3 linked regions of the Anolis sagrei genome follow. The protein of the gene in region 1 binds, or shares a complex with, the protein of each later gene. Links are inferred from orthologs where the notes say so. Each region holds a gene or a part of one and is shown on either strand. Other genes may lie near its edges. The genes, in order: NRXN1, LRRTM2 and CASK.

Region 1 (7,504 bases):
ATTTCTTCCTTGTCTCCATCCCCCCCCCCCCTCCGCCTTCCTGGCTCCACCTTGTTGGTATAGTGATAAGGTCTCTAGGACAGTCCACCCTCAGAAAATCTAAAAATATATTTTTACTCTCCAACAGGAGGTATTTTGTAGAACCAATTGGTTTTGCTAAGTGAAGCCCAATCTGCCACATAATACTTCAATTTAAGGAATAGACAATTAAAATTATTTAATTGTCTGGATCTGAAGTAGGATTATTTGGACCCAGTGCAGTCTGGCTTTAGACTGGGACATGGAACTGAAACAGCCTTGGTCACCTTAGTAGATGATTCGCGTAGGGAACTTGACAGGGGGAGTCTGCCCCTGTTTGTTCTCCTGGGCCTCTCAATGGCCTTCAGTACCATAGACCATGGTATCCTTCTGGGACACTTTGCAGGAATGGGTTTCAGAGGTACTGTTTTCCAGTGGCTCTGGTCCTTCCTGGGATGTTGCTCCCAGAAAGTGTTGTTGGGGAACACCTGCTCAGCCCTGCAATCATTGTCCTGTGGGGTCCCTCAGGGTTCAATACTGCCCCCCATGTTTTTAACATCTATGTGAAGCCACTGGAAGAGATAATCCAGAGTTGTGAAGTTTGGTATCAGCTGTATGCAGATGATGTTCAAATCTATCACTCCTTTCCACCTGCTGCTCAAGTCCTGAACCGGTGCTTGGTGGCTGTGACAGTCTGGATGTGGGCAAACAAATTGAAATTGAATCCAGACAAGAGAGAGGTACTCCTGGTCAGTCATAAGGGCAAACAGGGTATAGGATTACAGCTTGTGCTGGATGGGGTTACACTCCCCATGAAGGCACAGTTCTCCAGCTTGGGAGTGATCCTGGACTCATACCTGACCCTGGAATCCTAGGTTTTGGCAGTGGCCAGGGGAGCATTTGCACAATTAAAACTTGTGCCCATACCTTGGGAAGTCATACTTGACCATGGTTGTCCACACTCTTGTTTCATCCTGTATAAACTACTGCAATGCACTTTACGTGGGGTTGACTTTGAAGACTATATGGAAGATTCAATTGGTTCAACAGGCAGCAGCCAAGTTGCTCAACAGAGTGGCGTACAGCTCCACTGGCTGCCAGTCTGCTACCGAGTACAATTCAAATTGCTGTCATTTGTCTAAAAAGCCCTAAACACTTCCAGCCCAGCTTACCTGTCTGAACATATCTCCCCCTATGAACCACCTCAGAGATTAAGATTATCTGGGGATGCCCTGCTTTTGGTCCCATCTTCCTCACAGGCATGACTGGTCGGGATGAGAGACAGGGCCTTCTCAATGGTGGCCCCTCAGTGGTGGAACTCCCTCCCCAGTGATATTAGATTAGTCCCCTCCCTCCTGGCCTTCAGAAGGAAAGTGAAGACGTGGCTTTTGGATCAAGCTTTCAGAGACTGCCTTCAGTACAGTAGATGAACTGATGGATACGGATTATGTGCAATGATTACTGGAATGGCCCCAGACTATGATTATGGATCATGTGGTTTTGATAGTTATTATAATGTTTTAAAATATTTGAATGTATATTAATTTTAATTTTTAATTTAAATGTTTATTTTAATTATATATTGTGTCAAGGCAATGGATACTTGCCTATATGTAAAGCCACCTTGAGTCCCATTCAGGGCTGAGAAAGGTGGGATAGAAATACTGCAAATAAATAAATAAATAAATAAATAAATAAAATCTCTTGGTGCCAGCGCGCAGTCTGTTCAGTGCCTTCCAAGTTGCCCAGTCTTCTGTGTGCCCAGGAGGGAGTCTCTCATTTCGTATCAGCCATGGATTCAGGTGCTGGGTTTTAGGCTGCCACTTTTGGACTTTTACTTGCTGAAGTGTTCCTGCAAGTATCTCTGTAGATCTTAGAAAACTATTTCTTGATTTAAGGCATTGGCATGCTGGCTGACATCCAAACAGGGGATGGGCCAGACATGTCACTGCCTTGGTCCTTTCATTATTGGCTGCTACTTCCAGTGGATGTCAGGTAGTGCAATACCAGCTAGACAGTGTATTTTTTTTCCAGTGGTGTAGGGCACACACAGCCAGTGATAATGTGGCATGTCACATTAAGAACCACATCCACTGTTTTAGCATGGTGAGATGTGTTCTAAACTGGGCTTGCTTACTCAGCAGCAGAGTAGCAAAGCACAAGTGCAAAGTTGTAGTTGAACAAGGTTTTTAGCCTTCTCTGACTAAGAGTGCTGCTGCCTCACCAAACTACAGCTCACCGTGCCTAAACAGTGCATGTGGCTCTTAATGAGACATGCTGCATTATCACAGGGTTGTCTGCACCCTACACCACTGGAGAAATTACACTGTTTAGCCGGTATTGCACTACTTGACATCCACCGGGAAGTAGCAACCAATAGTGAAAGGACCAAGGCAGTGACATCTCTGGCCTATCCCCTATTTGGATATCAGCCAGCATGCCAACAACTTAAATCAAGAAATAGTTTTCTAAGATCTACAGAGACACTCGCTGGAACACCTCAGCAAGCGAGAGTCCAAAAGTGGCAGGACCTATTCCAATTCTGGGCACCACAATTCAAGAGAGATATTGACAAGCTGGAATGTGTCCAGAGGAGGGCGACTAAAATGATCAAGGGTCTGGAGAACAAGCCCTATGAGGAGCGGCTTAAGGAGCTGGGCATGTTTAGCCTGAAGAAGAGAAGGCTGAGAGGAGATATGATAGCCATGTATAAATATGTGAGAGGAAGCCACAGGGAGGAGGGAGCAAGCTTGTTTTCTGCTTCCTTGGAGACTAGGACGCAGAACAATGGCTTCAAACTACAAGAGAGGAGATTCCATATGAACACGAGGAAGAACTTCCTGACTGTGAGAGCCGTTCAGCAGTGGAACTCTCTGCATCGGAGTGTGGTGGAAGCTCCTTCTTTGGAAGCTTTTAAACAGAGGCTGGATGGGCATCTGTCAGGGGTGATTTGAATGCAATATTCCTGCTTCTTGGCAGGGGGTTGGACTGGATGGCCCATGAGGTCTCTTCCAACCCTTTGATTCTATGATCCTATGAAAACCCAGCACCACAATCAATGGCTGATACCAAATGAGAGACTCCCCCCTGGGCACACAGAAAACTGGGCAACTTGGAAGGCACTGAACAGAGTGCACTCTGGCACCACGAGATGCAGAGTGAACCTTCAGAAATAGGGCTACAAAGTGGAATCCACGACATGCGAATGTGGAGAAGAGCAAACCACTGACCACCTGCTGCAATGCAACCTGAGCCCTGCCACATGCACAATGGAGGACCTTCTTGCAGCAACACCAGAGGCACTCCAAGTGGCCAACTACTGGTCGAAGGACATTTAATAGAATACCAAGTTTGCAAACTCTGTGTTTCGTTTGTTTGTTTTTAATGTAATACAACTATTTGGTTCACTCTTGACACGATAAATAAATAAATAAGCTCCCAAAATGCAATACCATTAAGCCTTGGCAGTCAAAGTAGTATCACAACGTATTTATTCTGCACCCCAAAGCACCTAGAAGAAACTGGGGAGGTTTCTGGCAGCAGGTTGAGTTAGACGAAGAGGAGGGAAAGAGACCTCTCCAAGGTGCTGATCCCTTTCCCCTCCCTCCAAGGCTTCAGCACCTTGGACAGTTCCGCGGCAGATTGCCTGCTCCATAGGGAGCCACCAAGTAATGCTGGGTTCGGGGAGGGGCCACGTTGAGGAGGAGGAGGAGGAGAACACCTTTCCCTTCCGGATCAAAGGGGCTGCCGTATACATTAGACACCCTTTCCTGACACGTGTTCCCACGCACGTGTGTACGGCGAGGCCCTAAGATGCTGGGAAAGGCAAGGAGAGTTTGTGTCTGTGTTCAGCACCCTTAGCATATTCTTGGAATCTCTTGTGTCGTTCTAAAAAAAGAGGGGGGGGGAAGAAAGGGGGGAAAGATGGGGAAGTTGGACCTATTTGCACAAACAAAGCAAGAAGAGGTGAAGGACATTTTCTGCTTTTTGCAGGGAAGGGAAAAGAGAAGAGAGAGAGAGAGAGAGAGAGAGAGAGAAGGAAGGAAGGAAACCATTTCTTATTTTTCCTCGCCACACCTGCAGCGCCAGAGCAGCATCCTTGGATCCCAGAGAGAGAATGAAAAAGAGGGGGGGGGGGGGTGTTTAGAAAGAGAATCACGTCACCAGCTTTGAAGGGAGGGGTCAGAGTGGGCTCAATGTGGGGCAGAAAAGGGAGGAAAGGATAACCCACGGCCCAGGTTGTCTCCCAAGCGGGTTCCTTCTCCCTGCTTTCCTTCCTCCTCATCCGGCTGGGAGGGAGGCTGTGGCCCAGGGCGAGGTGGCCGTCCAGGCTGCGGCTGTAGCCCGCCCGGCTCCGCCTTCCTCTTGCAGACAGGCAGCGCCCGACGCGCGTCACGTGGGGATCCGCCAGCCCTCCTTTCCCTCCCTCGTCTCCGCCCTGACTCTTGGAATGAGAGGGAGAGGGAGAGGAGACCCAGCCTGACGCTGCTGAAAAGGCAACGGATGGCACTTTCCCCCCCGCCCGCCCTCCTCCTCCTCCTCCTCCGCCTTCCTCCTCTTCCTCCTCCTCCTCCTCCTCCTTCCTCCTCCTCCTCCTCCCCTGCCCGCCTCCTCCTTCTCCCGAGGAGCGAAGGGGCCGCCCGCTTTGGCCGAGGCAGGTCTCCCGGAGAGCCGCGCTTCCAGGCGAACAGGAGGAGAGGCAAAGCGGCCGCGCAGGTAAAGAGGCGGCTTGGGGAGGGGACAGGTGAGAGGAAGCAGGGAGGAGGGTGGGGAGGGGGAGGGCAGAGACCCCTTCAGCTGGACCGAAAAGGGGGGGGGGGCGCCTCTCAAGGATGCGCCAAGGGAGGTGGGTCGGCTTCTTGCTGGCATTTTCCAAGGAGGGATGTGCCAGGAGATCTGTTGGGATTTCTGAGCGATTGGGAGGTCTGTTGCGGAGGGAGGAGGACCTGAATCTGGCTGCCACTGCTTCAACATTCAGGCTTGGGGAGGGAAGAGGAATCCGCTCTCCCAATGTCCCCTCTCCATTTTAGGGGAGAGGGAAAGGATGGTGGCGAAGTGGATACTATATGGTGTTTCATTAAAGACAGATAGATGGGGAACGGCGTTGAGCAGAACCCCTTCCTCCTCCCCTTCTCCTTCCTCTCTTAACTGCTCTGAATCCCTCCTGATGATGCCTCATTTTTGGGGAAGGTTTGAATACCAGGCTGAAATGCAACCGCTGCTCTTTTTCTGCTCTCTTGGGGTAGAAGAGGGACAATAAACAAGCCAAGCACACGCTCTCCTCCTTCTTCTCATCCCCTCTTTTTTTAAAAAGCACCAAACCCCCTGCAGAAAAGCAAAGGGGAGCAATTGATGCTGGAAATAGGAATCCAGGAGAGCCAGGAAGGGGGAGGGGGCGCTAAACAACCATAAATAAATAAGTGGAAGGCTGCTGGTGTCAAGGAATCGCTTTGGAATCAAAGCACTTCGCTCTCCGGCTGCAGCAAAAAGGTTGTCTGTGGTGGGTTTTTCCCCTTTCCCCCTGTTCCCTCCCATTATTAGTATTTTTTTTTATTTCAAGCTGTAATTTGTATGTTCTCCGGGTCTTTCCCGCATCGGGAGAAAATCCTATGGAGACTAGAGAGGGATGCTGCCAAAACTGGGCAGTCGACAAAACGAGCTGCTCTTTATGAAGGGTTGGTTGTCTTCGAGGTCCATCCACACATCCACCTTGTTTTCTCCTCTCTTCCTTTCCTTCTCCCTCGTTACTCCGCCCTGGTTTAATAGCTCAGCAGGGGCACCTGTGACCAAAACGTGATTTTAATAACAATAACAGTAATGATAGGTAAGCTAGTCTTGGAATAAGGTATTGGCGTCTGGTTTCCCCTCGTATTAAACAGGGAAGAGTTTAGTATTTCTCTGAAAACCACACACACACACACACACACACACACATATATATGTATGTATGTATCCCAGATCCCTTTGAAAGCATGCATGGCAAATCACCAGTCCACCTTCCCTGATGGATCAGCTTCACTTGTTTTGCCAATGGCTAGACAGTGGGTGCTGTTTATCATTGTATCAGCCATAATAAATTAGCAAGAGGGTTTTAAAAATGTATTTTTCCCATTTCCGTGGTTCTTGTGGCGTGTGTGGGTCTGTGTGCATGAGAGGAGGAAGAGAGAAAGGGGAGGGGGCGAGAGAAAGGGGGTGGCCATGATGTTGTCTAAGGAGGATCTTGTAGAGGGATCCCCCTAATCTCAGTGGCTCTCCCAGCTGACACTTGTAGGGGCACATCTGCCATCCACTCCTCCCTTTTGACTTGTGTGTTTTGTATGCCTCTGTGCATGGAAGCAAAGAAAGCACATATAACCTTGGAGAGATCTTGGCTTTCTATAAGGCAGAATAAGTGAACACTTTCCCTCTGCAAAGGTGGATCCCCCATTTTTGTCTGGCCAATCTTCAGCTATATCTTTTGAAATCTAAACATGTATTATCAAAATATTTCATGGCTGGAATCACTGGGTTGTTGAGTTTTCTGTGCTCTATGGCCATGTTCCAGAAGCATTCTCTCCTGACATTTTGCCTGCCTCAATGGCAGACAGTCCAGACCTCACAACCTCTGAGGATGCCTGCTACAGATGCAGATGAACCGTCAGGAAACATGAAACATGGCCATACAGCCCAGAATACTCACAACAACCCAAAATCTAAACACATTATCCCCATATAACACACACACACATAAGAAAAGGTGCTCACAGCTCACCTGATACCAACTAAAGACTATTTTTGTGATAATAACAAATAAAACAACCAGAATGCTTTGGCACTGAGCACACAACTCCCGCAGCCCCAAAGCCTTTCACAATAAATCTACAATGCACAGGCACAGAGCAGCAGCAGCAGCAGCAGCAGCAGCAACAACAACAACAACAACAACAACACACCTCTCATCAAAGCCATACAGGTTCTGAGTGAGGAAGTTTCCCAAAAACACTGTCAAGACCTCTTCCCTCCATTCCATGCACAACAAATGTCATCAAGGTATCTGTTTTCCAATATGGACCTTCTGCTTACACACAGTTCAATTTTATAACCCTCTTTTTTTGCAAACCTGCAAAATAATGGAAATCACCTCCCTGAAACAAGAATATCCACACACACATCTCTCTTTCCGATATGCTGAATCCATATCCTGCAAATCTGAGACACAATGACCCCCAGACATTCATTACGACACCTGCTGTAATTAGTTCCATGCTTAATGAGGATACACTTCTACTATACCCTGCACTGCTTTCAACACCATTTCTCTCACCTTTGTCTGTTCCATGCAGAAACACACAGAGAGCAACACAATCCTATCCATCCCTGCAGTTCACCTGCCCAGCAACACAACACTTTCCAGAGTCCTTTATCATGCTTGCAGACACACACCCATCTATATGGAAACACCCACAAATGCCAGCACCATCTTGACATTTGTCTTAGGCACCAGGAT
Region 2 (7,874 bases), about 120 Mb from region 1:
GAGGAGGTGATGTAGCGTCACTACATAAAAGCCCTGTGCCAGCCACATGTGGGTGTGAAATGCATGGGAAATAGATGGAATGGCAGCACTCAGGAAGCATCCTAGGTACTGGTAGCATGCCAAGGTGGCAATGTTGTACTGAAAAGACATCTGTTGAATAAGTAACAAAACAAGCAGAATATACGAATGCACAGAAATAAGGACTAGGGGGAATATGCTTTAATAGTAAGTGTGCAAGTGTGCCTGCTTTCATTGTTTATTGTATCTGACTGTAACATGAACATGTAGCAAACTGTTTTACTATACCATTCGGTAAAACACTCTTGATAAAACGTCTGCCTTTGGGAATTTGAACACTCTACCTATACCTCAAAGCCTTGCCTTAATGGCTATTTTACCCCTCCACTGTATTTGAGAGCGTTCAAGGGATGAAGAGTACTAGGGCTCTACTCTCATCCAGAAATAGGATGTATGTGCACATAGGCATTAGCAAACAGACTCATGGCCCTGCTTGATTTACAACATTTCTGACTTGTCCACTATAAAACAATTTGTGAGATTACAATATTGGCAAAAAATTGAAGATGTTACAGTAGAATCATAGATACTGCTGATTAAATGGTGTGTTGCACCAATATGCTTTATGGATTTGTATAGATCGTGAAATAAAATATGTATATCCCTATCCCAACTGAAACACAGAAATGATTGAGCCTACAGAGATATAAAATGGGCTCCTATTTCCATATTTATTTGACCCTTTTCTTTATGCAGGATCTAGGGCTAAATGTATAAAGGGTTGCTAAAATATGAAATAAAGAGGGATCAAGTAAAATACTGTACTATCATATGGGCTCAAAATCCCCAGTTCAAAATATTGCCACACAAATTCAAATGAAACAATGGAAGGTATGGATGAAAGAGATAACACTGCTTTGAGTAGTGATTTCTAAGACTTCTTTGTTGTCAAATAAGGGCAGTTCTACCAAATATTGGAAATACAAGGACAATTTTGGGGCATTTAATCTCATGTAGTGAGAAAGGCCCAGAAATGTTGAAATACCTTGTCAAGGTTAAATGTAAAACGTTGGGAATACAGGATACTCGTTCAAAAAGAAAAATTAGAGGAGAATGTTACAATATATGACAACTGCTGTAAGAATGGTATATTCTCAGAAGTGGGAGGAAAAAAGCTTTACCAATGCAAGAATACCCAGATGAAAATCTGTGAAACAGAAATGAACAAATTGACTATTTATTTATTTATTTATTTATCGTGTCATCAGCAACCATACCATTGTATTATTGAGGCACAATTGAAGGATAAATCTTTGACTAAGTTCAAGAAAGACTGTGACCTGCTGGCTAGCTTTTTACAACAATGCTAATTGAGGCATTTATCGACTTAGGGATTCATGAATGAGTAGAGTGTCATTTTAAGTAAAAGTATAATTAACATTATTGTTTAAAGGGAGCAGACTATTAAGGGATAACAACCATCAGGCAGAGAGTAGGTAATTTGCAGGGTTTTTTAAATAGTTGCTTAATTGTAAAGTATGTTGTTTTGTATATAGTGAGATTTTCCCCCCAGACAATATAGACCTAAGCCATACAGGGCTTTAAAGGCCATAATGAACACTTTGAATTTTGTCCCGAAACAAACAGATAACCAATGAAGCCATTACAATGGGGATGGGGCATAATATATTTCCTGTAACCAGCCGTAGTCAACAGCTAAGCTACAAAACTTTTGACCTGTTAATATTTTTGAACAGTTTCTAGAGGCAGTCCCACACAGAATATGGTACAGTAATCCAACGGGGATGTAAGATATGTATAACCATAACCATATCATTTGCTTCAAGGCTTTGTATACAACCACTCAACTAGAAACACACATTTATGGCTGTATTAAAATGCTCCTCCACAAAGGAACTATTTCACTAGATTAAGACATTTTAGAGGAGGTAACAACTCAATTCCTCAAAAAATAGAAACAGCTTTGAGCAAGAACAAAGAACAAGTTCCTACATTCCTCTACAGCAGTAGGTCTCAACCTGTGGGTTCCCATATGTTTCGGCCTTCAGCTCCCAGAAATCCTAACAGCTGGTAAACTTGCTGGGATTTCTGGGAGTTGTAGGCCAGAACACCTGGGGACCCACAGGTTGAGAACCACTGCTCTACAGGAAGGAAGCGTATCTACTTCCTTACCTGTTACCCATCAGTACAGAATAATAGAAGTACACTCATTTAGCCAATACTTGTTTTGGGAAAGAATCTAGCCTATAAGCAATATTAGAATTGAATAAAGGCCTATTATCTATCCTAAACACATAAACTCTTTACATGCATGTCAACATGAGCATACTACTCCTCTAAACCTAAGTGAATATATAGTTTGATGAGTGCAGTAGCAGATGTACAATGCAGAAGTAGAGTAGCCATTTTCTTTATTCATTTGTTATCTTAAATGGATACACAGGATCTGCTCATATGATATACCAGACACACAAAAACACACACAACCATGTTTATCCCAGTCTTGTATATAAAAAGTTTTTTTTAATGTCTGGTGTCTTTTGTCTACTAGTCTAATGGCCACTGGCAGCAGAATAATGACTCCAGTAGCAGGCCACAACAACTCTATGAGGAGCACCGTCTGCTTGTATGTATCCTAGTTTTAGAGGGACAAAGCCTCCATCAACTCATTCATCTGCATATAATTCTTTATCAGGCAAGTATTTAAACTTGGGAGTCGAATAAGGTCCCTCATCTGAAACCTTGAATATGTCAGGGAAGAAATGCACAGTACAGTACAACCTCTACATACGCATGTCCCAACTTAAGAGTGTTTTGAGTTAAGGGTTATCATTCGGCCTGGGCTTTGCTTTGACATAAAGGTAGCATTTTGAGTTAAGAGCTAGTGCCAGAGGGAGCACTTTTTTGTGTCAAGAGTGACTTGAGAAACTGCAAGTCGCTTCTGGTGTGAGAGAATTGGCAGTCTGCAAGGATGTTGCCGAGGGGACACTCAGATGTTTTACCATACTATGGGAGGCTTCTCTCATGTCCCCACATGGGAAGCTGGAGCTGACAGACGGGATTCGAACCACTGACCTTTGAGTCAGCTGTCCTATCGGCACAATCATTGCACCACTGGGGGCGCAAGTGTGAGAGTACAGGGCATTAGGGCTTCAAGAGAGTAGTCTCTGTGCCTTGTGCTCTCGTCAGCTTTGGGAGATTGCTGTTTGCTTTGCTCTTGTTCGCTTTGAGGAACTTTGGGTTAACTGATTTTGTGTGGTTTTTATTCCTGGTATGTTTGGCTTGATGAAGAGAGGGAGGGAGGCTCCCTCTCTACACCACCCTAACGATTTAACAAGACTTGAACATTCATGGATTTTGGTAACCTAGAACCACATTCCTATGGATACCAAAGACGCACTGTATTATGTGAAAGGAAATAAACAATTGCTCTAGAACATTGTAATCATGACAACTGGTCTTAGAAACCTTTTAGAAGAGGTACCATCATCTCATAGTTGTACTTGGATTGTAGTTTTAATTGAAAATGTAATTGAAGGAGATGACCTATGTTCATTAATATTCAACTGATTTCACTGGTGTTAATTACACCACAGACCTCAAAATATTTAAATAATATTAACTTATATTTTCCGAACATATATACTTTAACCAAAAATTGTTTCTGAATCCTGCTACAGCCCATTTTTATTTTAAACACTTTAGGATATCAAACTGAATTGGCAAAGGGCCAAAACAAGTGCCAGGAATGGCAAGGAAGGAAATGATTTCTACTACTCCATGCATCACTAAGAAATCTGACTTTGAATGAATCTACCAGTATTTGAACTGCAAGTACTCCAACAGCGAACATTATTTGCTTTATAGCTTAAATATGAATTCTTCTGATTTACTCCTTTTGTCTCTTTTATTAATATTTTCACAATGGAAGAATATGTATAACAAAGCCTTTTGAGTCATTTTTACGCCAGTTTTAAAAAATAGAAAGTAAAATATTTCTAGATGGAAATTTTAAGCTGTGTGTAGAACTGCAAGGAATCATTTGCATCAAAAAAAGGGAGTATACAATCTGACAATTGAACCGAACAAAGTCACACAACTAACATTTGCTTTGGTGGTGCAGTACAGATTAGATTACTTAAAAAAAACCAAAACCCTTAAATTGATCAGGAAGAGAAAATGTGTACCATCCCCATTCATTTACTTTCCCTATACATTTTTTCATCCTGTCTTTCACTGAATTACCTTTATCTATTTTCTAATCTGATTTGAACTATCAGATGTGGAAACAATAGAGCCCTGGCAGCAGTTTTAAAAAAGAGTTATAAAGTGAAAAACTACTGGTTAAAATGTTTGGATTTGATTTAATTTTTTTTCACAAGATGCTTAGCAAAACCATCTATCTATTGCCAGCAATCTCCCTCTTTTTAAACTAGAAATAAACTTTTATAGCAAGAAAGATCCCCTTTGAAGTTAAAATCCCACATGGCTCTGCCTGACAGGCTTTGTTAATTAGCAAACGAACCCCCCCCCCCCCCAAATATCAAGCAGAACATCGACAGGACAACTATGACAGAAAAATCTGTAATGTGGCTGGTTTTCAGAAATTCAGTTATACAATTCTAAGTTGTAAGAATGCAATCTGCAAGACAGACTCTTGCAAAGTCACTTCTATCCCTTGGATACCAAATGAAGAATTCTTAGTTAGGTTTTTCCTCTTAGTGGTAGTCTAATCTCACAATTCGCAGTATGCACCACAGTGCCTTAAACTGCAAAGCTTCTGGAAAACCCAAACAAAAAGGAACGTCACAAGATGACGTCAGCCTATATACAGTTGTGTGGTCGCAGCACATAAGCAAATGCGTTCCTGTATCGTATCCCTGAAAGCTTTTCAGCAAATGCATTCAAGCGACTATAGAAGCTTCTCTCAGCAATAAGCCACCCATCTGCCATCAACAAGTTACGACAAAAAAGCCATAGCTGTGGAAAACGCTTGCAGTTAAACAGCTGTACAGAACAAAAACAGAGAACTCCAGTTCAGCACTGATTCGGGAATTTGCAGAGCTGTCACTGAAAATCAAGGAAATGAATTCAAAAGGAATATATGACAATGGGATGTGAAGTCATTTTTACTCTTAATAGCGGAAGACAGTAGATGTAAATTATTCAAAGGCTGTCAACGTTAGAGCTTTTTACAGACTCACTGTGTTGAGTCTAAAACTACGACTGAATGAAACCTCCAACGTACTCAAAAGAATGGGTAAGTTTATACATTTTGATTTGCTGTATTATGTGCAGTCAATTTTACTTTAGAAAGAGGTAGAAATAGCATTTTAATGTTTTTTTTTTTAAAAATGCAACTAGGTAGTATTTGTCAATAATTGCAATAATTTAGACAAATTTCATAGCAGATTTATTTAAAGCGTAAAGACCTCAGCACATTAATGCATGTCATTACCTGCTGCAATCTTTTTTCCGTTTTTTATTGTGAGCATTTATCTGATAAGAATATCCTATTTTGTTGTTTCCTTGAACTATATTCTGCAGGCTTACATTTCAAGTGGCCATTAGGGACTCCTGTGCTGGCAGCAGTATATGCAATGAGTATTGTTTTTAAAATGCTGCCTGCCTTGGGCACGGCTTGTCCACCAAAATGCCGTTGTGAGAAGCTGCTCTTTTACTGTGACTCTCAGGGGTTTCACTCAGTGCCAAACACCACTGACAAGGGCTGTCTAGGTTTGTCATTGAGGCACAATTTTATTACGGAACTTGAAGGGGATCAGTTTGCAAGCTTCAGTCAACTTACTTGGCTTCATTTAGACCATAATCAAATTGATACAATAAGAGAAGATGGTTTTCAAGGACTGTATAAACTAAAGGAATTAATTTTAAGTTCAAACAAAATCTCTTATTTGCCAAACACAACTTTTAGCCAACTGCTTAACCTGCAACATTTGGACCTCTCTTCCAACCAATTATCTGCTTTGCATCCTGAATTGTTCTATGGCCTTCGCAAACTGCAAACCTTGAGTTTACGTTCCAATTCCCTGAGGACTATACCAGTCCGTCTATTTTCAGACTGTCGTAGTTTGGATTTTTTGGATCTGAGCACAAATCGTTTGCGAAGTTTGGCACGCAATGGATTTGCTGGATTAATCAAACTGAGGGAGCTTCACCTAGAGCACAACCAGCTGACAAAGATTAACTTTGCTCATTTCCTACGGCTAAGCAATCTGCACATGCTCTTCTTGCAGGGGAATAAAATTAGCAACTTGACTTGCGGGATGGAATGGACCTGGGTCACTCTAGAAAAGATAGATTTGTCTGGAAATGATCTCAAAGCCATTGATATGACAGTTTTTGAAATAATGCCTAATCTTAAAGTACTCCTAATGGATAACAACAAACTAATCACTCTGGAATCCAAGGTTTTATATTCACTTAAAACCCTCACTACGGTGGGCCTCTCCAGCAACCCTTGGGAATGCAGCCCCAAAATATGTTCATTAGCCACATGGCTGAGTGGCTTCCAAGGTCGGTGGGAGCACTCCATACTTTGTCATAGCCCAAACCACACCCAGGGAGAGGATATTCTAGATGCAGTGTATGGTTTTCAGCTTTGCTGGAATTTATCAACTGTTCTTACATCCATTGCTACAAGCTACAGAGCTCCAACGACTGAATATACAAAAAGGATAAGCTCCTCAAATTTCCATGTGGGAGACAAAGAAATTTCAACTACTACAGGCATACCTATTACGACAGAAGATCAGTTGCCTGAACCAAACAATGTCATCTTCACTCAGCAGGTAATTACAGGAACAATGGCTTTATTATTTTCTTTCTTTTTTATCATTTTTGTAGTGTTCATCTCCAGGAAGTGCTGCCCTCCCACATTAAGAAAAATTAGGCAGTGCTCAATGATTCAAAGCCACAGGCAACTGCGATCTCAAACACGGCTACATATGTCAAATATGTCAGACCAAGGACCATATAATGAATATGAACCCACCCATGAAGGACCTTTCATCATCATTAATGGTTATGGACAGTGCAAGTGTCAGCAACTACCCTATAAAGAATGTGAAGTGTAATATCTACAGGTAATCAAAAAACAAAAGCAGATAAAACTTATTTTAAATTGCAGGGATCCAAAACTATTAATTTTTTTAAAAAAAGAAATGTTGAAAAAGCCTAGATTTTTCTAGGCTACTTGTTTTGAGTGATGCAGTATTTAAAAGTGTTTTTCTTCTTAAATAACCCATAATATTTTCAATGTGAAATCAGCAATGTTTGCATTAAATTTGCACTCCTGATGTTTGGAAGTCTAAATATGCTCAACCCAAAATATGTAAACTGCTTCATGTTATGTAATTCTATGTGTAAGATTTTTACTCTGAAGCCTCCAGATTTGAGGTAGATGAATAGTCTGGATGAAATGGCGCTGTTAGGTATATTTACAGGTCTCCGTGAAGGAAGGACATTTGCCAAGTGATGCACTGTAGTTATGATCCCCAATATTTCAGTTGACTCAATTTTCTCTTAAGTGGAGATTTAACAGAAAAGGTTAAATTACATTTTCCCCCTTTCAAAAGCTGATTCTCAAATTTACGATATACAATAGTAAAGTTCAGCAGAGGGATTTTGCTATGTACCGAAGCATGGGGGGAAAAAACCCATATTGTTTTCTAAAATTCCACAGTGAGAATTCAGCTTATTGAAATTTGTTCTAGATCTAGAATATAGCTGTTGACACTTCTGAATAAACCAAGATTATATATACTATTTTAAAATAACATCCTTCTACAGGCATTTGGTACCATGTAGTACTATAC
Region 3 (7,819 bases), on another chromosome or scaffold:
TAGAAAAATAGGAAGAGAGAAGAAAACTGCCAGTTTTGCATTCCTTATATGGAATTCCAAAAATCCAAAATTGTCCACATGGAAGGCTGAAAAAGTGACATCTTTGTGTTCTGGTGGTTTTATGCACACAAACTTAGTTTCATGCACAGCATTATTAAAAATATTGTTTGAAGTTACCTTCAGGCTATGTGAACATGGTATATATGAAATATAAATGAATTCTGTGTGTAGACTTGAATTTCATCTCCAGGATATCTCATGTACATACAATATATACAATTGTAAATATTCCAAAATCTGAAAATATAAAAAATTCAAAACACTTCTAGTTGTACGCATTTCATATAAAGGATATTGACCCTGTATTACCAACAATAGTAGGGACCAACAACATAATTATATTTCCAAACAAACCAATAGGAATTTCTTACTGATGTAGATATGATTCTGACTAAATGTTGCCATGTATACAAACATTGCTCTAATAGCCAGAATTTTAAAAATGATTGAAACTGGGAAGAACCTGGAACACAAAAAACATAAAGCATTTTTAAAAGCAGGAGTTTGGCAAAGGATGTTAACAAGATCACATGTATCCAACTTCAGCTACATGAAATTACATCTTTGGAAGAAATATTACAACAATCTTGCTACAAAATATTTCTCTCATACACCCTCTTGCAGTAACAAGTCATTTTTCATTCTGAATGTAACAATCATAGCAGAAACAACCAAAAATGTTTTCCTTAACATTTATTTGCCCTTACAAAATCATAATGGCAACAAACTCACTTAACTGCCAAAACATCTTCAGATGGATACAAGGTAAAGTTATTCAGCTACTAAAGTGATACAGTAGATGTCTACTACAATTTTTATTCTAGCACAAAGAGTCCCAGATCTCCCACTATGATACAGTTATTGGGGAAGACAAAAAACAAAAACAAAAACCTCTGCTTTCATCTCCTTCAATTACCAAGCTTATTTGGTTTCCCTCTCCAAGACAAACCACTTGGCCTGGCATTTTCAAACCGCCTGTCAAACTGGACACTCCAGGTAGCCTGAGTGGCAGTTCAGCCAACCACCCTTGCAACTTTAGTTTTCTGCAAAAGTGGTTGTTGCCTTTGAAAGGCCTTCCAGCTTTATCCCAACTGGGGGTGCATCTGCATAGTGTAACTGATGCAGTTTGACAACACTTTAACAGCCATGGCTCGATGCTATGGAATTATGGGAGTTGTCACCTTACAAGGTCTTTAGCCTTCTCTAGTCACTCGCCAAACTACAACTCCCACAACTCCATAGCGTTCTGCCATGACAGTTAAAGTGGTGTCAAAGGGAGCTTCCACATAGCTGAATAAAATCCCACATTATCTGCTTTGAACTGGAATAAATGGCAGTGTGGGCTCAGGGCCCTTCCACATAGCCATATAATCCAGAATATCAAGGCAGAAAATCCCAGAATACTTTAACTGGGTTATCTGAGGCCCCTTCCACAAAGCCCTGTATTCCAGAATATCAAGGTAAAAAAATCCCACAATATCTGAGTGTGGACTCAGATAACCCAGTTCAAAGCAGATATTGTGAGATTTTCTGCCTTGATATTCTTGGATATAGGGCTGTGTTGAAGGTCCCTGTGTCCACACTGCCATATATCTCAGAGAGATGTGGGATTTTATTCAGTTGTGTGGAAAGGGCCCAAGATAACCCAGGGTCCTTCCACATGGCCCTATATCCCAGAATACCAAAGCAGAAAATCCCACATTATCTGAGTGTGTACTCAGATAACCCAGTTCAAAACAGATATTCTGGGATATAGGGTTGTGTGGAAGGGCCCCTAGTTCAAAGCAGATATTGTGGGATTTTCTGCCTTGATGTTCTGGGTTACATGGCTGTGTGGAAAGGCCCAAAGTGTGTCACCTCTACAGTGTGTATGTATCCACGGTGGGGATGGGAAAAAAAGCACCCGAGTATTACCTGAGTGTCCTTTATATCGCCGCTAACGAGCCGGTTTGATGATGCAGCAGCGCCCAAGGAAGGCACCTGGCATTGGTAGGAGGGAGGGAGGGAGGGAAGGAGAGCGAGGGGGAGGGGAGCCGAGGAGGAGAAACACACCCCGTCCCTGCCTTGTCTACCTTGTAGGAGAGAGAGAGAGAGAGAGGAGGAGAAGCCCCGCTTTGCTGCAGGAGCCCCGTTTAATCATGGTGGCCGGAGGAGGGGGGAGAGAGGAGAGGGCTCCCTTTCCCCAGGTGGGAAGAGCCCCGAGCGGTTCCCGAGGATCCTTCCTTCCTTGCCCCCCTCCCCCCGCGCGGTCGGGGAGGAGGCTTTGCAGCCCACCGCCGCTCCTCCCTCCGCGGCTGCCTCCTCCATCTCCCCTCCATGGGTGCCTCTGCTACTTACTTGCCGATCACCTCGCAGAGCTCGTAAACGTCCTCGAAGAGCACATCGTCGTCGGCCATGGTCCGGCGGGGGGGAGGCGAGCCGCCCCAGGGCGGGAGGGGCCGCGGGCACGGTCCCCCTCCTCCTCTTCCCCCTCCTCCTCCGCGCTCCCCGCCGCCGCCGCCGCGCTAAAATCCCGGCCAAATCCTCCAATGGCCGCGCTAGGAAAAGCCCCCCTCGGTGGCCGCTCCTTGCGGTGGGCCGCAGCCTTTCCCCGCGTGTCCCTCACAATTCCCGGCGTCGTCGTCTTCTTCCTTCTTCTTCGCCTTCCTTCTTCTCACCTTTGGCCGCCGGGGATTAATCCATGGAGGGGATGGAGACGGAGGATGAAACCGCGGCAGGCAGGCAGGCAGAGCGAGCCCCTCATTCGCTCCCTTCCCCCGCTTCTTGTCCACACACACACACACACACACACTCACTCCCTCCCTCAGTCACTCACACACTCGCTCCCTCCCTCCTCGAAACGAGAGAGAGAGAGAGAGAGCGCGCGCCCAGGCGAAGAGAAAGGCGCGGCTCCGTCCACGCGCCACCCCAACGCCGTTTGATGAAGGGAGAAACACAGAGGGAGACAGGGTGCGTGCGCGCGCGCCTGCGCGTCACCGCCGCGGCCGCCGACACCTTTCTTATCAGTCACGCAACCGCCCAGAGCCAAGCATGCGCGCGCATCCTCCCTTTACGTTAGAACGCGCGCTCTCGCGCTCAGGGCTAAGTTGGGGAGGGGAGCAGAGCTGGCTTTTTTTTTTTCCTTCCTCCTCCTCCCTCCTCCCTGCTCCGAGCAAAGCCACGCCCACAACTCCCCTCACGGGGAAACGGCGAAGAGTTTGTACTGCGCAGGCGCGGGGGTTGTTGACGTCATTTGAACGGGGAAAGGGAAAAGGAGAAGGTTTTCCTTGCGGTCGGAGAGACTAGCGGCAATGCTGGGGCTGAGAAACGGCAGGGCACATAGGCATTGCGTTGAAGCTCCTCTTTAGTGTCCGACAGACTTCACAATCTGAGGATGCCTGCCATAGATGCAGGCGAAACGTCAGGAGAGAATGCTTCTGGAACATGGCCATACAGCTCGAAAAACTTACAGCAACCCAGTGATTCCGGCCATGAAAGCCTTCGACAACTCATTCTCCTCTTTAGCCTTTTTTCTTTTCTGGATATAGCCATATTTGAATCGCCTGAGGGCTGAGAAAAGCGGTATAGAAATAAAGTAAATAAATATTGCACATAGTAGATTGACACTGAGCGGTGTCAAACGGCTATTATTCATTTTGTCAAAGGCTTTCATGGCTGGAATCACTAGGTTCTTGTGGTTTTTATTGGGCTATATGGCCATGTTCTATTTATTATTTATTTATTATTTATTTACTGTGCTTATATAGCGCTGTTCTCAGCCCGGGGGCGACTCACAGCGGTGTACAACATAGAGAGGACAGGGTGCAAATTACAAGACACAATCTAAAATCAATCCAGCAATAACAAAAGCATCGTCATCAACAACATCAACAACATCAATATCAATAATACAAAAAGCCATTCGCATAATCTCATCGTTACACCACAATCCAGTATTATATTCCGTCGTTCCATTCCTGTCGTCATTACCAATTATTGGATTTCTTGTTCGAACGCCTTCTTGAACAGCCACGTCTTTAATTTCCTGCGGAATATCATCGGAAGGGGCCAATCTGATGTCCACGGGAAGGGTGTTCCACAGCCGAGGAGCCACCACCGAGAAGGCCCTATCTCTCGTCCCCACCAGGCGTGCCTGTGAGGCAGGCGAGATTGAGAGCAGGGCCTCCCCGGATGATCTCAAAGTCCTCGTGGGCTTATAGGCCAAGATGCGGTCAGAGGATGCTTGCCATAGATGCAGGCGAAATGTCAGGAGAAATGCCTCTAGAACATGGCCATATAGCCTGAAAAAACCCACAAGAACCTTATTATTCATTTATTTATTTACTTACTGCATTTATATGCCGCCCTTCTCACCCTGAAGGGGACTCAGAGCGGCTTACAAGATATATATATATATATATATATATATATATATACACACACACACACACACACACAAACAATATGTTATATTATTAAAACAGCACTATCAGTGTTACATATTACTATATTGTACTATACCATTATATTGTAATATTATTAGTAATATTACATGTAATATAAAATATATAATTATAATATTGCATTATTAGTAGTATTATATTGTATTACATTATAGTGTTATAAATATTATATGTATATACAATATATTATCTAATCCAGGTGAAAGAAGAAAGTACAAAGGCTTGGTTGCAGTTAAACATAAAAAAACCAAGATTATGGCAACCGGACTGATTGATAACTGGCAAATAGAGGGAGAAAACATGGAGGCTGTGACATACTTTGTATTTCTAAGTGCAAAGATTACTGCAGACGCAGACTGCAGCCAGGAAATCAGGAGACGCTTCTTGGGAGGAGAGCAATGACCAATCTCGATAAAATAGTGTTTTGGACTATAAGCGGCTGAGGGGGCAAAGGAAAGGGCCTGAGGCTGTGAGGAATGGTGGGAGTTGAAGTCCAAAACACCTGGAGGGCCCAAGTTTGCCCTTGCCTGATCTACACTGACAATATAATGCAGTTCCAAACTGCATTATATGACAGTGTGCATCCAGTGTGCATCCAGCCTATACTTGACAGTGTGCATCCAGCCTGTGCTTGACGTGGTTACACTCCCCCTGAAGGCGCAGATTTGCAGCTTGGGAGTGATCCTGGACTCATTGCTGAGCCTGGAACCCCAGGTCTCGGTGGTGGTCAGGGGAGCTTTTGCACAATTAAAACTTGTGCGCCAGCTGGGCCCGTACCTTGGGAAGTCTGACTTGGCCACAGTGGTCCACGCTCTGGTAACATCCCGTATATACTACTGCAATGCTCTCTACGTGGAGTTGCCTCTGAAGACTGCCCGGAAGCTGCAATTAGTCCAAAGAGCGGCAGCCAGATTACTAACAGGAGCGTGGTACAGGGAGTACACTACTCCTCTGTTGCGTCAGCTCCATTGGCTGCCAATTAGTTTCCAAGCGCAATTCAAAGTGCTGGTTTTGATTTATAAATCCCTAAACGGCTACGACCCAGTTTACCTGTCCGAACGGATTCTCCCCTACGAACTATCAAGGTTGTTAAGATCTTCTGGAGGGGCCCTGCTCTCGGTCCCACCACCTTTGCAATCGTGTCTGGTGGGGACGAGAGACAGGGTCTTCTCGGTGGTGGCCCCTTGGCTGTGGAACTCTCTCCTGATGGAGATTAGATCTGCCCCTTCCCTCCTGACTTTCAGAAAGCTAGTGAAATCCTGGCTCTGGGGCAAAGCATTCTCAGAATGATTGGCGTCAACAATAACCTAATAACTACTGACCACACTGGCGGACTATGATGAATGTGATTTTATCTTGTCGATTTGGCTTTATGTATTTATTCTGTTGCTATTTTACTGTATTATGATGTTATGATGTTATTAGTTTACTTGTGTATGCATTTTCTGTTAGCCGGCCTGAGTTCCTCTGCGGAGGTTGAGAAGACTGGGATATAAAAGTTCTGAATAAATAAATAAATAATAAATAATAAACCCTGTTTGGGCAGGCATGTATACCAAAAATACATGGAAGGAATGTAAAAGATAGTGGAAATGCAAAACATGTAGTAGCAATATCTGTCAATGCAAAACATGTTGGAATGGTGACAACTACCGGTTTAACAATGATTGTGATGAGTAGTTGAAAGGACATAGTTGGGAGTCAGGTTTTGCTCAGATAAACACATGTAGACCGGAGGAATGGCTTTTACCTAGTGAGTTGGTATGTGTGCAGGGCCTGTAAAATCTTGTCATAAAACAGGTGTGAGGAGAGTATCTTTGCATATGTATGGCTGTGATGAAAGCTGTAATGTTTTAATATATGTAGTGTGTCAACAAACCATTGTTTATGGCTTGGAATTTATTGATACATCCTAATTCAGCAGTTCTGCCCATTGGAGAGAAGGATAGTAGAGGCAAAGATGAAGTACTTTGGCCACATCATGAGAAGAAAGGAAAGCTTAGAGAAGACAATTATGTTGGAAAAAATGGAAGGAAAAAGCAAGAGGGGCTGACCAAGGGCAAGATGGATGGATGGCATCCTTGAAGTGACTGGATTGACCTTGAAGGAGCTGGGGGTGGTGACAGCCAACAGGGAGCTCTGGCATGGGCTGGTCCATGAGGTCACAAAGAGTTGGAAATGACTGAACGAATAAACAACAACAAATTCAGCGGTTTCTCTTTCCAGGCTTCTTTTAGTTTTTATGCACTGCACAAATTGTCCAAGCAGGTTGAAATGCTCTGCAACTGGTATATTTTTGTAGTTTATTGTTTCCATTTCTAATATCAGATATACTGTATTTACTTGAGTATAATGTGCCGTCGAATTTAATGCACACCTCAATGATTTTCAGTCGAATATAATGCACCCAGCAGTAAAGGCATAGTGAGTCAGGAAGGCAGTCAGCATGAATGAGGCCATTTGGGAAGCTATGTCTCTGTCAGGCCAAGGCTGGTGAACTCTTCAGCCTCACACAGTTCCCAAACGGCCTCATTCTCAAGGCCTTCAAAACCAAGGGGGAGGTTTTGAAGGCCCTGGGAATGAGGCTATTTAGGAAACGTGGGGCTGAGTCTCAGGGGAACAGGCAAGAGCTTCCAAGGGTAATTTGAGAAGCAGGTTGCTTACTTCTCCTTTGGCCACAGTGGCCTGAAAGCTGCACAGCCGCTCTGTGGCTAAGGGACTGGGTCACTATTTGGCTGCACATCCTTCTCCAGGCACCACGGAGCTCTGAGGCCACCCCCAGGAACAGCCTTTTAGAGTCCTTCCACACAGCCCTATATCCCAGAATATCAAGGCAGAAAATCCCACATTATCGGAGTGTGAACTCAGATAACCCAGTTCAAAGCAGATAATGTGGGATTTTCTGCCTTAATATTCTGGGATGTAGGGCTGTGTGGAAGGGCCCTTAGTCTCCCCTTCTAGACTCTGGAGCTCTAGCTTTCTCTGGGCCTTTTCACGCAGGTGGATTTACATGTATGATTCTAACACTCCATTGAATCTAATGTGTACCTCAGTTTTGGTGATGCCATTTAGTAAAAACATGCATAATGACTGTCCTGATTATGCCAGGAAATGAAGAGGGGGTATTCCAGGCATGGGATGGCATATATCACATTGAAGGATGAACAGGATATGAAACAACTGATAATATTAGACAAAAGGCCCTTCCACACAGCTCTATGTCCCAGAATATCGAGGCAGAAAATCCCACAACATCTGCTTTGAACTGGGGGCCCTTCCACACAACCCTATATCCCAGAATACCAAGGCAGAAAAAT

The links.
Region 2: the proteins of NRXN1 (region 1) and LRRTM2 are in contact, whole or in part, in a crystal structure (PDB 5Z8Y), measured with the Homo sapiens proteins. The link is inferred for Anolis sagrei from reciprocal best matches to the Homo sapiens genes NRXN1 and LRRTM2. Residues at the interface, in NP_001317021.1 of Homo sapiens: Leu139, Val158, Thr160, Arg236, Gln237, Leu238, Thr239, Ile240, Asn242; in NP_056379.1 of Homo sapiens: Asp343, His344, Gln346, Gly347, Glu348, Leu351, Asp352, Ala353, Gly356, Phe357.
Region 3: the proteins of NRXN1 (region 1) and CASK are in contact, whole or in part, in a crystal structure (PDB 6NID), measured with the Homo sapiens proteins. The link is inferred for Anolis sagrei from reciprocal best matches to the Homo sapiens genes NRXN1 and CASK. Residues at the interface, in NP_001317021.1 of Homo sapiens: Lys468, Glu469, Tyr470, Tyr471, Val472; in NP_001354650.1 of Homo sapiens: Pro500, Met501, Gly502, Ile503, Thr504, Leu505, Lys506, Ala516, Arg517, Val549, Gln553, Leu556.

The regions. Positions count from the first base shown.
Region 1 is NC_090021.1:18,711,088-18,718,591, forward strand, and holds the start of NRXN1 (neurexin-1), read left to right. Parts: upstream 1-4,461; 5' UTR 4,462-4,762; intron 4,763-7,504.
Region 2 is NC_090021.1:140,758,632-140,766,505, forward strand, and holds the start of LRRTM2 (leucine-rich repeat transmembrane neuronal protein 2), read left to right. Parts: upstream 1-4,790; 5' UTR 4,791-5,295; coding exon 5,296-5,299; intron 5,300-5,586; coding exon 5,587-7,133; 3' UTR 7,134-7,874. UniProt on the Homo sapiens protein: Involved in the development and maintenance of excitatory synapses in the vertebrate nervous system. Regulates surface expression of AMPA receptors and instructs the development of functional glutamate release sites.
Region 3 is NC_090023.1:77,990,843-77,998,661, reverse strand, and holds the start of CASK (peripheral plasma membrane protein CASK), read right to left. Parts: upstream 3,078-7,819; 5' UTR 2,457-3,077; coding exon 2,398-2,456; intron 2,022-2,397; exon of another isoform or gene 1,975-2,021; intron 1-1,974. UniProt on the Homo sapiens protein: Multidomain scaffolding Mg(2+)-independent protein kinase that catalyzes the phosphotransfer from ATP to proteins such as NRXN1, and plays a role in synaptic transmembrane protein anchoring and ion channel trafficking.